Lytechinus pictus: one gene and its partner. The protein of the gene in region 1 purifies or fractionates together with the protein of each later gene. This does not show direct contact. Links are inferred from orthologs where the notes say so. Each region holds a gene or a part of one and is shown in the gene's direction. Other genes may lie near its edges.

Evidence for each region. The genes of interacting proteins can lie anywhere in the genome.
Region 2: the proteins of pyruvate dehydrogenase E1 component subunit beta, mitochondrial-like (region 1) and pyruvate dehydrogenase protein X component-like purify together in Homo sapiens (affinity purification with mass spectrometry; 4 studies listed by BioGRID and IntAct, counting the BioPlex papers as one, with this or other methods). This does not show direct contact. The link is inferred for Lytechinus pictus from reciprocal best matches to the Homo sapiens genes PDHB and PDHX.

Annotation. Positions count from the first base shown.
Region 1 is NC_087247.1:29,769,468-29,776,670, reverse strand, and holds the start of pyruvate dehydrogenase E1 component subunit beta, mitochondrial-like, read left to right. Parts: upstream 1-4,130; 5' UTR 4,131-4,175; coding exon 4,176-4,211; intron 4,212-4,309; coding exon 4,310-4,369; intron 4,370-7,203. UniProt on the Homo sapiens protein: The pyruvate dehydrogenase complex catalyzes the overall conversion of pyruvate to acetyl-CoA and CO(2), and thereby links the glycolytic pathway to the tricarboxylic cycle.
Region 2 is NC_087253.1:21,265,146-21,272,363, forward strand, and holds the start of pyruvate dehydrogenase protein X component-like, read left to right. Parts: upstream 1-4,143; 5' UTR 4,144-4,301; intron 4,302-7,218.

The DNA of each region.
Region 1 (7,203 bases):
TGCCATTACTAAGAGTTAAATCGAGCAAAAAGAAGAACAAACAACCGTGGGTTACACAAGGTATAATTAAATCCATATTTACTCGGAATAGACTCTATAAAATATCCATTAAATCGCCTACAATTCAAAACATAAATAAATACAAAAAATTCCGCAACAAATTAATTTCAGTTATCCACCTAGCTCGCAAATCTTACTTTTCTGATAAAATTGAAAATAACAAAGATAATAAAAATTCATTATGGAAATCTGTAAATGAGATATTAGGTAAGAAAAAAGAAAGCTATGATAACATTAATTTCGTAGAAAATGGACAACACTTGCGAAACCCAAGTGATGTTGCTAATGCCTTTAATAACTTCTTCAATAATATCGGTCCAAATTTAGCTTCAAAAATAGTATCTAATGATAATGACTTTTCTTAATACTTAAACGACTTTCCGGAAAATTCTTTATTTTTTAATCCGACTAATACTCATGAGATCTTAGAAATTGTTAGGTCTTTGAAACCGACTAAATCTTCAGGGCATGATGGAATAAGTGTCTATTTATTAAAACAAATAATTCACTTTATAGCTTCACCGCTCATGCATATTTTTAACCTTTCTCTGTATCATGGCATTGTTCCCGATCTACTTAAGATTGCAAAAATAATACCAATATATAAGAAAGATGACCCATGTCTTACTTCCAACTACCGACTAATATCTTTATTACCGAGTATATCTCTAAAAAAATTTAAAAGTAGTTTACAAGCGATTGTATTCCTTTTTGAACAATAATAATATATTAATTCCAAATCAATATGGTTTTAGAGAGAATCATTCAACCGATTATGCTATTTTACAATTATTCGACAAAATATCTGATTCTCTCTCTAAAAAAGAACACACTGTTGGGATTTTTATGGATCTATCGAAAGCATTCGATACAATGGATCACCGCATTTTACTTTGTAAATTAAAGAGATATGGAATCAGGGGGGTGGTTTTCACTTGGTTCAAAGATTACTTAAGTAATCGACGCCATTATGTTTCTTTCAAATAAAAAACATCCTATATTTGTACCATGAAATGTGGAGTACCACAAGGATCGATGTTAGGTCCCTTGCTATTTTTGATTTATATGAATGATATTGTAAATGCATCTCGAGAATTAACATACGTTTTATTTGCAGACGATACAAATGTCTTCTATTCCCACAAAGACTTAAATATACTCGTCCCGACACTTAATTTAGAATTAAAGAAATTATCAAAATGGTTTAAAGCTAATAAACTCTCCCTAAATATAAGCAAAACAAATTTTATGTATTTTAAACACATTCAAACTAAACATATGTTCCTTAATATATACATAGATGACATACCTATCATTGAAAAACAAGAAACCAAATTTTTAGGTGTATGGATTGACTCAAATTTAACCTGGAACAGTCACATTCACAATATTTGCATGATGGCATCCAGAGGAATAGGAATTTTGTTTAGATTAAAATATTATCTCTCCAAAAAATCATTATGCTTTATAATTCGTTCGTTTTATCCCACTTATCTTACTGCAACTTAGTATGGGGGTATAGTAGTAAGGTAAAAATAGAAACGATTTTCCGTCTCCAAAAGAAAGCACTCCGCATATGTACTCATTCACATTTCATTGCACATACTGATCCAATATTTCACAACTTAAAGACATTGAAAATTGAAGATATTAACATTTATCAAACGGCCATATTTATGTTTAAATATTCATCCAATATTATCCCGATTCCATTTCGCAATTTTTTTGTTTACAACAAAGACATTCACAAATATCCAACACGACATTCAACAGATCTTCACTTAACCAACCCAAGAATATTACTCGCTCATAAGACGATACGCCACCATGGCCCAGATATTTGGAATGCATTGCCACATGATATTAAACAATGTACATCTCTCTATTCGTTTAAAGCTTCGTTGAAAAAAATTCTTATTTCTAAGTATACCTAATTTGATTCACCTGCACTCACCCACATGCACACACTTGCACTTCTTTTAACCATTTTTTTCTACTAATATATATATTTTTTAAAATCTTATATTTCGTGACGATCAATTTATCAAATATGATTTATGATGGTTTTCATGTAGCCCCCTCTCCTGGCTGCTATTGCTTCAAGCACCTCTGTGCTTATAATAGCTGGCCCCTGTATTTTACCGAACTATATCACATGCTTAGGTATGATTTAACTATCAGTCTTTTCTGTATTATTTACAATGTATCTCTTTAATTGTCACATTTAAATTGTATTCATTCAATTATGTGAACATGTTAATTTATCATTGATTTATGAATAAAATGCAGAAACTCCTGCAAAAAAACAACAACAACAACGAGGTCAAACGATGAATCAACATACCCATAACACACTGCACCCGCCCCGAAGAGTGCCCCCAATGCAAGTGCCGCCACTTTGGGGTTGTCCTTAAGAAATTGAAAAACTGTATCAATTTGTTTCTCCATTCTCCCGAAAATAGATTATCCTGTTGAAAGAAAATAAAACAACTTCGCCTTTGAATTATTAGGGAGTCAAAACCGGTAACAAGAGTTTTAATTATTGTTTGTCTTCTTGCCATCCAGCTGCTATCTGCGCGGCTATCTTGGAAACGACTGAACTACGTCATCAATGAGAGAAAGAGACATGCGCAAAAAGAAAGCGCACAGCGGCTGGTTATATATAGCTCTATGAGAAATACCAAGCGCAGATTCCCGAATACCTTTCTTCTGAAATTTCCAGCGTTAAGTTTGCTTTTTCTCTTTTCATTCAATTCAACTTTTTTGAAGGATGGCCTAAGGATTTCACGAAGCCCGTAATTGGAAAGTTTAGTACTTTATGCCAAAGCAAAAGATCAATAGAGAACTTACGTGCGTATATTATTTCAACTTACAAAACACCTCCAAAGAATACATATAAAAATGAAACCATTTCAGCTAGGATCAAAAGCATTCATCATGGTTGGACTGAAATACACACACATGGTGCACTTCATCTCACTAACTATTATCTGCCATCATATCAAAAACATTAAATCACACTAAGAAACGGATGCTTAAAACGTTTACACATGCACACTTCCTATAAAAAACTTTTACCATTGAAAATCGTTGCATCTCTTATATTATATTGTTTTTTGTGAAGAAAAGAATATTCAACATACAAGTAAAAAAAATTTACTTGAATTCCAAATCCAATTTTTAGGGGTACAACACTAACAAAAAATTTGACTTTTTATATATTAATTTATCCTGTTTTAAATTCAAAGATCAGTCCTTCAAGTACCCCCCCCCCAAAAAAAAAATGCAGGAAAGCCCTGTCTAATCATGGTGATCAAAATGCAACCTTGTACAGAATAGCATAATGATAAAACATTATAATAAGTCAATAGAATATTAATGATTGCAAGAAAACATTAAAATGAATAGTAACACAAGGCATTTTTTTTGCTCAGTACAAAATACATGGATTCCAACCCAAAGCAGGGGCGGCGATCCTGGGGCGGGGGCACAGTGCCCCCCCCCCCCCCAACTTTTTGAAGCACTGAAAAGTGCCTTTTTATGCAAGAAAAATGCCCCCTCACAAACGTGTACTGTGCCCCTTTCATCGAAGGAGGACCAGATTAGGTGATACCAATTTCCCCTTTCTCGTATAAGTGCCAATTTTTTTTCTCTCCAAAAAATGATGCCCCCTCATGGACACCTGAGAAGGACCAGTTTTATCGTTTTTTCGTGCCCGATGAGCGCCCGGTCTCTTAACATTTAGCGCCGTTTTGCTTCCTTCATGAAAATCTTGCAAAAGTAATCCTTCGTGCCTTAAATACACTGGGGTTAAATTTCATTTAACAAAGTTAAACTCCCCCCCCCCCCCGGCCCCCCTAGCGAAAAAAATTCTGCATACGGCCATGTTTAAGATAGTGCCCTTTTCGAAAGAAAAGGTGCCCTTTTTCCCTGTGCCCCCCCCCCCTCCCACTTTTAACTTCGCTCCGCCGCCCCAGACTCAAAGTATTCCACCCCCTCTGGTTTACTCCAAACAGTGATGATGAAGAAAATGATAAAAATTCCAAATAAAAAAATATCAATTTCTCTCTGGATCGTGAGCGCGATCGCGAGAGGGCGCTAATGCATTCAACAAAATGGCTCTTGCTGGAAAGCTGCGGCTTGCTCGGAAGGTAAAATAGAGATCTACAGATCATTTTTTTCTCTTTTATCGGTTCTAAAAAAGCCTTTTAATCGTTATTGATATATTCTATTATATATTATATTTCAGATAATCCCAAGTCCCTTTGCTAGAAGATGTCTGGGTACTTCTTCCCCGGCTTCTGCTCAGGTGAGTTGATTTCTCCTCTGGTTTCTCCACTCCAGTCGCGTCACTGAAAATTGCATCGCGATCGACAAAGCTGCTCCAAAAAAGAGTCCAAGCTCTCTCCCGGCTACTCACGCTGTCGCTGCTAATAGTACCTTGGTCACATTTGTTCTACGACGGCCGTACGGCGAGTCGAAAACAGCCGTTTTAACATTTTGTGTACCAACTACATATAGGTGGTTTGAATTAAAATTAATTAAACGGCTGTTTTCGACTCGACGTACGGCCGCCGTAGATCAAATGTGACCAAGGTATAACTCCATCCAGGAAACTTCGCTATGGCTATGCTGCGAACTGGCAAAATCCTGAACTTAAGGGGTGAGGGTGTCTGTGTACCTGGCGTCCCCCTACTCAAAAAAGTAGGGGGGACACAATATCAAATGTCCCCCCTACTTTTTTGGTCTTTTTTGATGAAAAGAATTAGGCCTACATCATTCAAAATCGAAATAAAACATGGATGTATTTGGACGAGATGACCTTACTTTTAGTTTTGGGGTCATAACCTTTTTTTTTTTGCTCGTCAAATTTTCCAGCCCTTGTCCCCCCTACCGTTTGGGAGAGATTTCGGCATAATCGTGATATAGTCCCCAAATCCCAAAATGGGGACTATTAGAATCACACCTACCAAACTCTCGCACAGCTCGAGAACTTGCGAAATGATGAAAACACACACAAATGAAACACACACCTGGGTTCTCTCCCTATTATATACTCATGATACAGTCCCCACTCTACGGTAAATCAAGTTTGATTTTCACGGCGGTGGGGACAGTTTCAACAGTATAGTATACTCGTGATACAATCCCCACGCTATGGGATACACATTTCGTTTGGCACGCAGTGGGGATAGCTCCAACAGTATATTATACTCGTGATACCGTCCCCTCACAACATAAAATCGTGCTCGTTCGACAAGGGGATGGGGACAGTTTCCAAGTGCAACGTGACAAGGAAGACTCATTCAAAACCTTCGGGAATTATTATTATTATTGTCTCATCATATTATATCATTTTATCATAATAATTATTATTTTATCATAATTATTATTATTGTTATTTAATCATAATTATTATTATTGTTATTATCATTATTATTTAATCATAATATCAATATTATTATTGCTATTTATCATTATTATTATTGTCAATATTATCATTATCATTATTAATGTCATTATTATTACTATCATCATATATTATTATTGCTATTTATCATTATTATTATTGTCAATATTATCATTATCATTATTAATATCATTATTATTATTACTATCATCATATATCAGTATTATTTAATCATAATTATCATTATTATTATTGTTATTATTCTGTTTCTGTTTGTTTCTGTTTGTGGTAACTCCCGTAGGAACTCGGCAGGACAGCATTTTGCTGGTATATAACCAATTACCTTGGAAACATTTTACGTCTAGATTAATCAGTCAGAGTGGCTGACGTAATAGACGACAGATATCACTCTTGGGCCTTTTTATCAAAGTGGAGACAATGGCAGAGTTGGGATTCGAACTCACAACCTTGCGATTATGAGTCCAATGCTCTAACCACTGGACCACATATTATTTAATCATAATTATCAATATTATTATTGCTATTTATCATTATTATTATTGTCAATATTATCATTATCATTATTAATATCATTATTATTATTACTATCATCATATATCATTATTATTCTTTATTATTGTTGTTGTTATTATTATTATTACAATAATGATGATAATATAATAAATTATTATATCATCATTATTATTATTATTCATTATCATTGAAAATGTGCCCCTTCCATCTCTTCCGTTCCTTGTATTTCATTTAATTCCTTCAAATGAAATCACTGTAGACTCATATCGTTTGGGTATAAATTATCATAATTATTATCATCATTGGCATCATTTTCATTATTGTTGGTATTATTATTGAAAGAGTCACCCCCAAAACATTAAAGTAATCAATACAAATATGTGACGGAAATAAAAAGTAAAGTAATGATAACAACAATGATGGGGATGATGATAATAAAGATTAAAAACAATAATGATGTTGATAATAATTATGATAAAGGTTAATAATAGAAAATAACAATAATAATAATTATTATAAAAATGATAAATAAAATATAAATGATTTTAACAAAAAATAAGGATAACAATAATAAGTAAAAAATAAATAAATACCATCAAAAATAATGACAATAATGATAATAATTACGATAATACCCAAAAGTTATGAATGAGTCTACAGTGATATCATTTGAAGGAATTAAATGAAATACAAGGAACGGACTGGATGGAAGGGGCACATTTCCTATGATAAAAAATAATGATAATAATAATTTCTTATACTATTATCACTATTATGATGATAATAATAACAACAACAAAGAATATTTATTATAATGATGATAGTAATAATGATATAATAAAAATAACAATAATAATAACAACAATGATAAAGAATAATGATTAATGATGATATGATAAAGAATAATAACCATAATAACAACAACAATAATAAAGAATAATAAAGAATAATAATGATATATGATGATAGTTATAAAAATAATGATAATAATAATAATTATATTAATGATAACAAAATATTGACAATAAGAATAATAATAATAAATAAAAACAACAATGATAAAGAATAATAATGATGTATGATGATGATAGTAATAATAACAATAATAATAATGATAATTATGATTAAATAACAATAGAATAATAATTATGATAAAAATGATAATTATGATAAAATAATAATGATAATTATGATAAAAT
Region 2 (7,218 bases), on another chromosome or scaffold:
TAAATCAAGCTTTGCAAGTTTCATAATAATGATTGTTATTTCATTTGTTTTGTAACTGCTATGTACACATGAAAAAATCTTATGCAATTATTTATATTTTGTAAATAGAACTTGACATGTTCCATATTGAATGTTATCAAATATCTTTTTATTATTTCTTGTTGTATTTTTCTGTGTTTGGATGATAATCAGAAAATTTATTTGTTTTAATTGATTTGATTTGCTTGCTTCTTATGGTGGTTGCCTGAATGGTATGGGACACCTGACAACATTCATGAAAATGTGATCGAGGTTCAAAGCTTCAGTACTCGGCCCACTGGGCACATTATAATTATATTCCAATGAGAGGTGATAACTGCATTAAATTTTACTGTATATGACAGAAATTTAAAATTATTTCCCCATGTCGCCTCGCACTGATACACAGAATGTTTTTATCCCAGGATAGCTTTGAAGCTGTTGAAACTAGGAATTATTTTTCAAGTTTCAAGGGTGTGGGGGGGGGGAGGGCATATCAACAAAGTGGAAAAGGACAACATACTACATGTATATAAGGATGTATTTATTTATTTCAGTTTTATTTATGCAGGGTAGCCCTTTCAGTTATAGAACTGATTTACAAAGAGGCCCTGCAACGATAAAAAGAACATATACATATTTTACAATGGACATATAAATAAGATACAATCATACAATGAAAATGTAGATGAATAAAGAATATAAAGAATATAAAAGGCCAATAAAATTCCAAACTCTTTCTTTTTTCTTGTACAACTTGGAATACAAATGCATATTATGATTTTTATCAGTGTATCATTATTATCATTATCATTGGCATGTATTTCTTTTCACTGAAAATTATTTTTATAATGTAATACATTATGATCAAATAGGAAACTCAAAACAAAAATCATTAAAAATCATGTCTGGGTATTATAGAACAAATGTATGCTGCTCCCAACACTTTCCATAGTTGCTAACAGTAATAACAAGTTTATCATATTAGAGCCTTGGAAGAGGTCACGAAAGTGTTTGCGGTATGATGATTAGTAAACAAACGAGTAGCTCGCTGGCATCAAGTGGTCTAGCGCCATCACATGTTGAAATACCATACAGCGTATCCTTATTTTGTTGGTAAATTGCCATTTCGCCTACAGCCAACTCGTACATTCAACACATGGTCTACCTTCTGGCTTCATTTAGTCTAATGCCATTCTGTCCATCAAAATTTCGTCTAACAACCATTTGGTCCAATAACCAGTTGGTCCAATCATCACTTCGTCTAATCACCATTTCATCTATGACCATTTCGTCTCATAACCAGTCGGGTCTAAAAAAAATTTATTTTCATTCCTTTCGCCCAATTAGACCAAATGGCATATGGATTTATGGCTATTGGACCAACTGGTTATAAGACGAAATGGTGAGTAGACGAAATTGTAATTAGATAATCTGGATAGTGGACGAACTGATGTTAGACCACATGATAGTAGACGAGTTAATTGGACGAATTGGCATTAGACGAATTGAAAAATACCGGGGGACTATGGGGGCTATATAATGGGAAGGGAGTAAGTGAACCAAGTACCTGGAAAACCTTATCGGGGGACATAAATCATTTGACAACTGAAAAAAAAATCAAACGTCTACGCAATTTGCAGGTCCACTCTCCAATCAAAAACTTTCCTCCAATCAAAAAAAAAAAGTCATCCCGGCCGGAATCCAGAATGCTAATTGGAGCTAGGTGCCTAATTGTTTTCTTCTTCTTCTTCTTCTTTTTTAGAGTATTACCGGTCATGCATGCACCCCCACCACCACCACCATAAAAAAAAGTGAAGAAAAATGCTTGACCGATGGGGCCGGATGGGGGTGGAACACCAACATTACAAATTTTCGACGATCCTTCACGGTCTTTGTCAGGAGTAATTGACAACGATTGATCTGATCATTTTCATTTACTCCTGACAAAGACGAAGGGTCGTTGACAAATTGAGGCTTTTGATAAAAATAACTTGATTTGCTTTGTTATCACTGAAGCCAATACGTGAAACTAAAAGTTACTAACTTTGTTTGGAAGCACTGCTGATAAGGAAGGTGACCAATGAAAGCAATTGATTTATTGAAAATATTTTCATATTTCTAAATTGGTTTACCATTATCATTAAACAAAGCAACATAAACATGATAATTATAGTTCTTGTAAAAATCTCATATATAGACTCATAGTATAGGTCCACATGAATGGTATTTTGCAAAGTCACGCTTAAACAAGTGACAAGTTTAATGAAAACGAACCCCACGGGTGGTGTCAGGGCAAGTGTCAGGGTGATTTGGAGGGAAATGGAGTGGTAAGATCTGGGGAGCGTTTCATGAAAGGACTTGTCGGACGTTTTATCCGACAAGTCCTGTTTTATCCGACAGTTACTATAGTAACAGTGCTTCTCAACCAATCAGAATCCAGGAAAGTTGTCAGATCTGACAACTTGTCGGACGAAAATATTGATGAAACGCCCCCCTGGGGACCGTTTCATTAACATTTTTGTCTGACAAGTTGTCAGATCTGACATCTTTCCTTGATTCTGATTGGCTGAGAGGTACTGTTGCTATGGTAACTGTCGGATAAAACGTCCGACAAGTCCCATTTTATCCGACAGTTACCATAGCAACAGTACCTCTCAGCCAATCAACATCAGAGAAAGATGTCAGATCTAACGACTTGTCGGATGAAAATGTTGACGAAACACTCCCCAGGCTTCTCACTTTAATCACAGGGGTATAGAAAAAGAAATTACAGTTACAAGACCAATACCTCTTTATTTTATACTAATTTTTTCTTCTTCCTTCCTCTTTCTTTCTCTCCTTTTCTCTAATTGAAAATGATAGGGGGAGGGGTTCATGCACCCTGCACTCCTACCCGTAAAGCGCATCCCCTATTTAATGTTCCATGAGGAATTGAATTAAATGTTCAATCATTGGAGAAAAATATATCTACATTTGATATTGCATGTATAATTCAAGTTATAGTCATAGAATTTAAAGGGGTGGGGGGGGGGGGGAATATATTAAAAATAGAGATAGATGAAGAGAAAGATGCCCATGCAGGACGGGGAAACCATACCGCAACAACAAAAACAACAACAAAAATAATAAAAATAAATAAATAAAATAAAATAAATAAAATGAAAAAATATTAATGAAAAAAAATGATAAATCAGTAATTGATTTGCAAATTTATTGGAGCATGGTTATTTGGCAGGATACCTGCCACAGTGACAACTGTCCTATTGTATAGTTCAAAAGTAAATTTCTGTTAGGGTCTTGAATTAACACTTTTCATACGACCAGTTTTTTATCATGTGAATGACACGGGTATATAGATAGATAGCCCCTATAAGCTGACATAACATGGTTCTTTTTAATTCGTTCTTCCCAGAGTTAACAGAAGCGGATCTAGAGGGGGGGTTGGGGGGGTTGCAACCCCCCCCCAAAAAAAATCCGGGGACCATTTTTTTAAATCTTATCTTTTTTTTTAAACTTGTAAAGCAAGAAAACGCCATTTTCACACACAGATTTTCAAAAATTTTCCCTACTGTGGGAGGGGGGACACTCCCCTCCCACACCCTCCCCCCTCGCTCGCTCCGCTCGCTTGGACTCGGTCGCTACGCTCCCTCGTATACCACCCCAACCCCCCCCTTTATAAAAAGCTGGATCCGCCCCTGGTTAATAGCTCGTTCATTCGACTTATAAAATTATTTGTTCCTATATACTATAGCTGCACCTTGGTCCCTTGACTTCCCAGCTCGACTTGTAACTATAAGTCAAGGGAATTTGCGAAAAAGTTTAGGGAACAAAATAAGTAAACTTATTTCGTGGGAACAAGTTCCATTTTTCCGCCCCTAGTTTTATAACAGCTGTCCCCATATTTAGCAACACCCCCCCCCCCGTAACCTAATTTCAAACCGGAAAAAAAAATTGAATTAAAATTCTTGGTCTCGGGGTTCATTTTATTGTTGTTGTTGATAGGGTGTTGTTATTTGGTGATATATTCCCTATTACTCACCAGTACCCCCCCCCCGTGCCCCGACTACTCCCGTACGAAACGGTACGATCGCTCGATCGATCGAGCTCGCGTCCTCGCGATCCATCCAGGCTAGAATTAAAGATGGCGAGTGTTGGAGCCTCCGCATTGCGGAGCGGTTTATCGAGACGAATAGGCGCAATATTGTCTTCAAATCTTCGTCCAAGGGTTGCCACAAGTTATTGTGATAAGAGGAATGTTTCTTTGACACCAGAATGTTTTGGTGAGTTGAATTTATCAAAGCTTGTCTTGCAAAATCGGATCGCGATGTGTCGATGTGAAATGAACTTACGCGAAATAATACGTGTGGGACCGTAGTAAATATTGGTAGGGGCTTTTGATAAAAAATGTATCTCCCTCGTAAAAAAGACCCTTTACTCTGCATTCGGAGCCTGTAAGTTGGATAGGACTAGTAGTAATGGGATGATGTCTGTGTTTTGTAGCATAGCATAAAAAATGCAGATTTAGGAACAACTGCAGAATACCCGGACACTGCGTTACCTTATCGTTGGAGAGCCAACGCACAACGATGTATGATGGGGGGACCTAAAGCTACGCACATTGTTTTCAAACAATAAAAACTATCCCAATTTTAATATTTCAACAAATATCTTTCACTAATTTGTGGCAAACATTCTAAAGATCATTAACCAAGAAGAAAATATCGCAAAACTCCCTAATACGAAAATCCCGCCGTGTTATCCGAACACCTCTTGATTTCGCCACCCGATGTAGAAGGGGTCCTAAAGCTACGTACTCGATTTATCATGTAAAAAAATAGTATTTCCTGTGCCTCAATTTCTAGAATACATTCATAATATTATAGGATAAAATGAAATTTAAGTGAATATAACTCCAAAATTCCAAAAAGTTTTTGGTTTTCTCTGCATTTAGAGATTTACTGCAGCCTCTGTAGAAAAAAATGATTAGGAATCATTCGTCACACTGCAGTCACAGTTCCACACACAGAGTGCGCATTTGCCATTAAAAACTGCATGCGCGATAAGTGGTGCGTAGCTTTAGGACCCGCGTAGCTTTAGGACCCCCTACCATACTGTCCGTAGTACAGGCCAACACTGCCCGCGATGCCAACGATCTATATATATATCTGTGTGCATCTGTAGTATGTAGGCCGACATTGCCCGCGATGCCAACGATGTGTATATTTTCGTAGTACGTGTAGGCCAACACAGTCCGCGATGGTAGCGGTGTGTTGGTGTCTGTAGTCGGTACAGGCCAACACTGCCCTCGATGCCAACGATCTATATCTGTGTTCTGTAGTATGTAGACCAACAGTGTCCGCGATGCCAACGATGTGTATATTTCCGTAGTATGTGTAGACCAACATTGCCCGCGATGCCAACGATGTGTTGGTGTCTGTAGTACAGGCCAACATTGCCCTCGATGCCAACGATGCGATCATATCTGTAGTTGCCTATGTAAACCAACATTGCCCGCCATGGCAACGATGTGTTGGTGTCTGTAGTACATGCCAACAGTGCCCGCGATGCCAACGATGCGATCATATCTGTAGTTTCCTATGTAGACCAACATTGCCCGCGATGCCAACGATGTGTTGGTGTCTGTACTGTACAGGCCAACATTGCCCTCGATGCCAACGATGTGAATGTATCTTTAGTAGGTATAGGCCAACAGCGCCCGCGATGCCAACGATGTGTTGGTGCCTGTAGTAGATGCCAACAGTGCCAACGATGCCAACAATGTAAATGTATCTTTAGTACGTATAGGCCAACAGCGCCGGCCAGGATGCCAACGATGTGTTGGTGTCTGTAGTATAGGCCAACCTTGCCCGCGATGCCAACGATGTGAATGTATCTTTTGTATGTATAGGCCAACAGCGCCCGCGATGCCAACGTTGTGTTGGTGCCTGTAGTAGATGCCAACAGTGCCAACAATGCCAACAATGTAAATGTATCTTTAGTACGTATAGGCCAACAGCGCCGGCCAGGATGCCAATTACGATGTGTTGGTGTCTGTAGTACAGGCCAACCTTGCCATCGATGCCAACGATGTGAATGTATCTTTTGTATGTATAGGCCAACAGCGCCCGCGATGCCAACGTTGTGTTGGTGCCTGTAGTAGATGCCAACAGTGCCAACAATGCCAACGATGTGTTGGTGCCTGTAGTAGATGCCAACAGTGCCAACGATGTGAATGTATCTTACATAGGCCAACATTGCCGGCGATGCCAACGATGTGAATATGCCTGTAGTAGAGGCCAACATTGCCGGCGATGCCAACGATGCGATCATATCTGTAGTTGCCTATGTAAACCAACATTGCCCGCCATGGCAACGATGTGTTGGTGTCTGTAGTACATGCCAACAGTGCCCGCGATGCCAACGATGCGATCATATCTGTAGTTTCCTATGTAGACCAACATTGCCCGCGATGCCAACGATGTGTTGGTGTCTGTACTGTAAAGGCCAACATTGCCCTCGATGCCAACGATGTGAATGTATCTTTAGTAGGTATAGGCCAACAGCGCCCGCGATGCCAACGATGTGTTGGTGCCTGTAGTAGATGCCAACAGTGCCAACGATGCCAACAATGTAAATGTATCTTTAGTACGTATAGGCCAACAGCGCCGGCCAGGATGCCAACGATGTGTTGGTGTCTGTAGTACAGGCCGACCTTGCCATCGATGCCAACGATGTGAATGTATCTTTAGTAAGTATAGGCCAACTTTGCCGGCGATGCCAACGATGTGAACGTATGTTTAGTATGTATATACCAACAGCGCCCGCGATGCCAACGATGTGTTGGTGCCTGTAGTAGATGCCAACAGTGCCAACGATGTGAATGTATCTTACATAGGCCAACATTGCCGGCGATGCCAACGATGTGAATATGCCTGTAGTAGAGGCCAACATTGCCGGCGATGCCAACGATGTGAATATGCCTGTAGTAGAGGCCAACATTGCCGGCGATGCCAACGATGTGAATGTATCTTTAGTAAGTATAGGCCAACTTTGCCGGCGATGCCAACGATGTGAATGTATGTTTAGTATGTATATACCAACAGCGCCCGCGATGCCAACGATGTGTTGGTGCCTGTAGTAGATGCCAACAGTGCCAACGATGTGAATGTATCTTACATAGGCCAACATTGCCGGCGA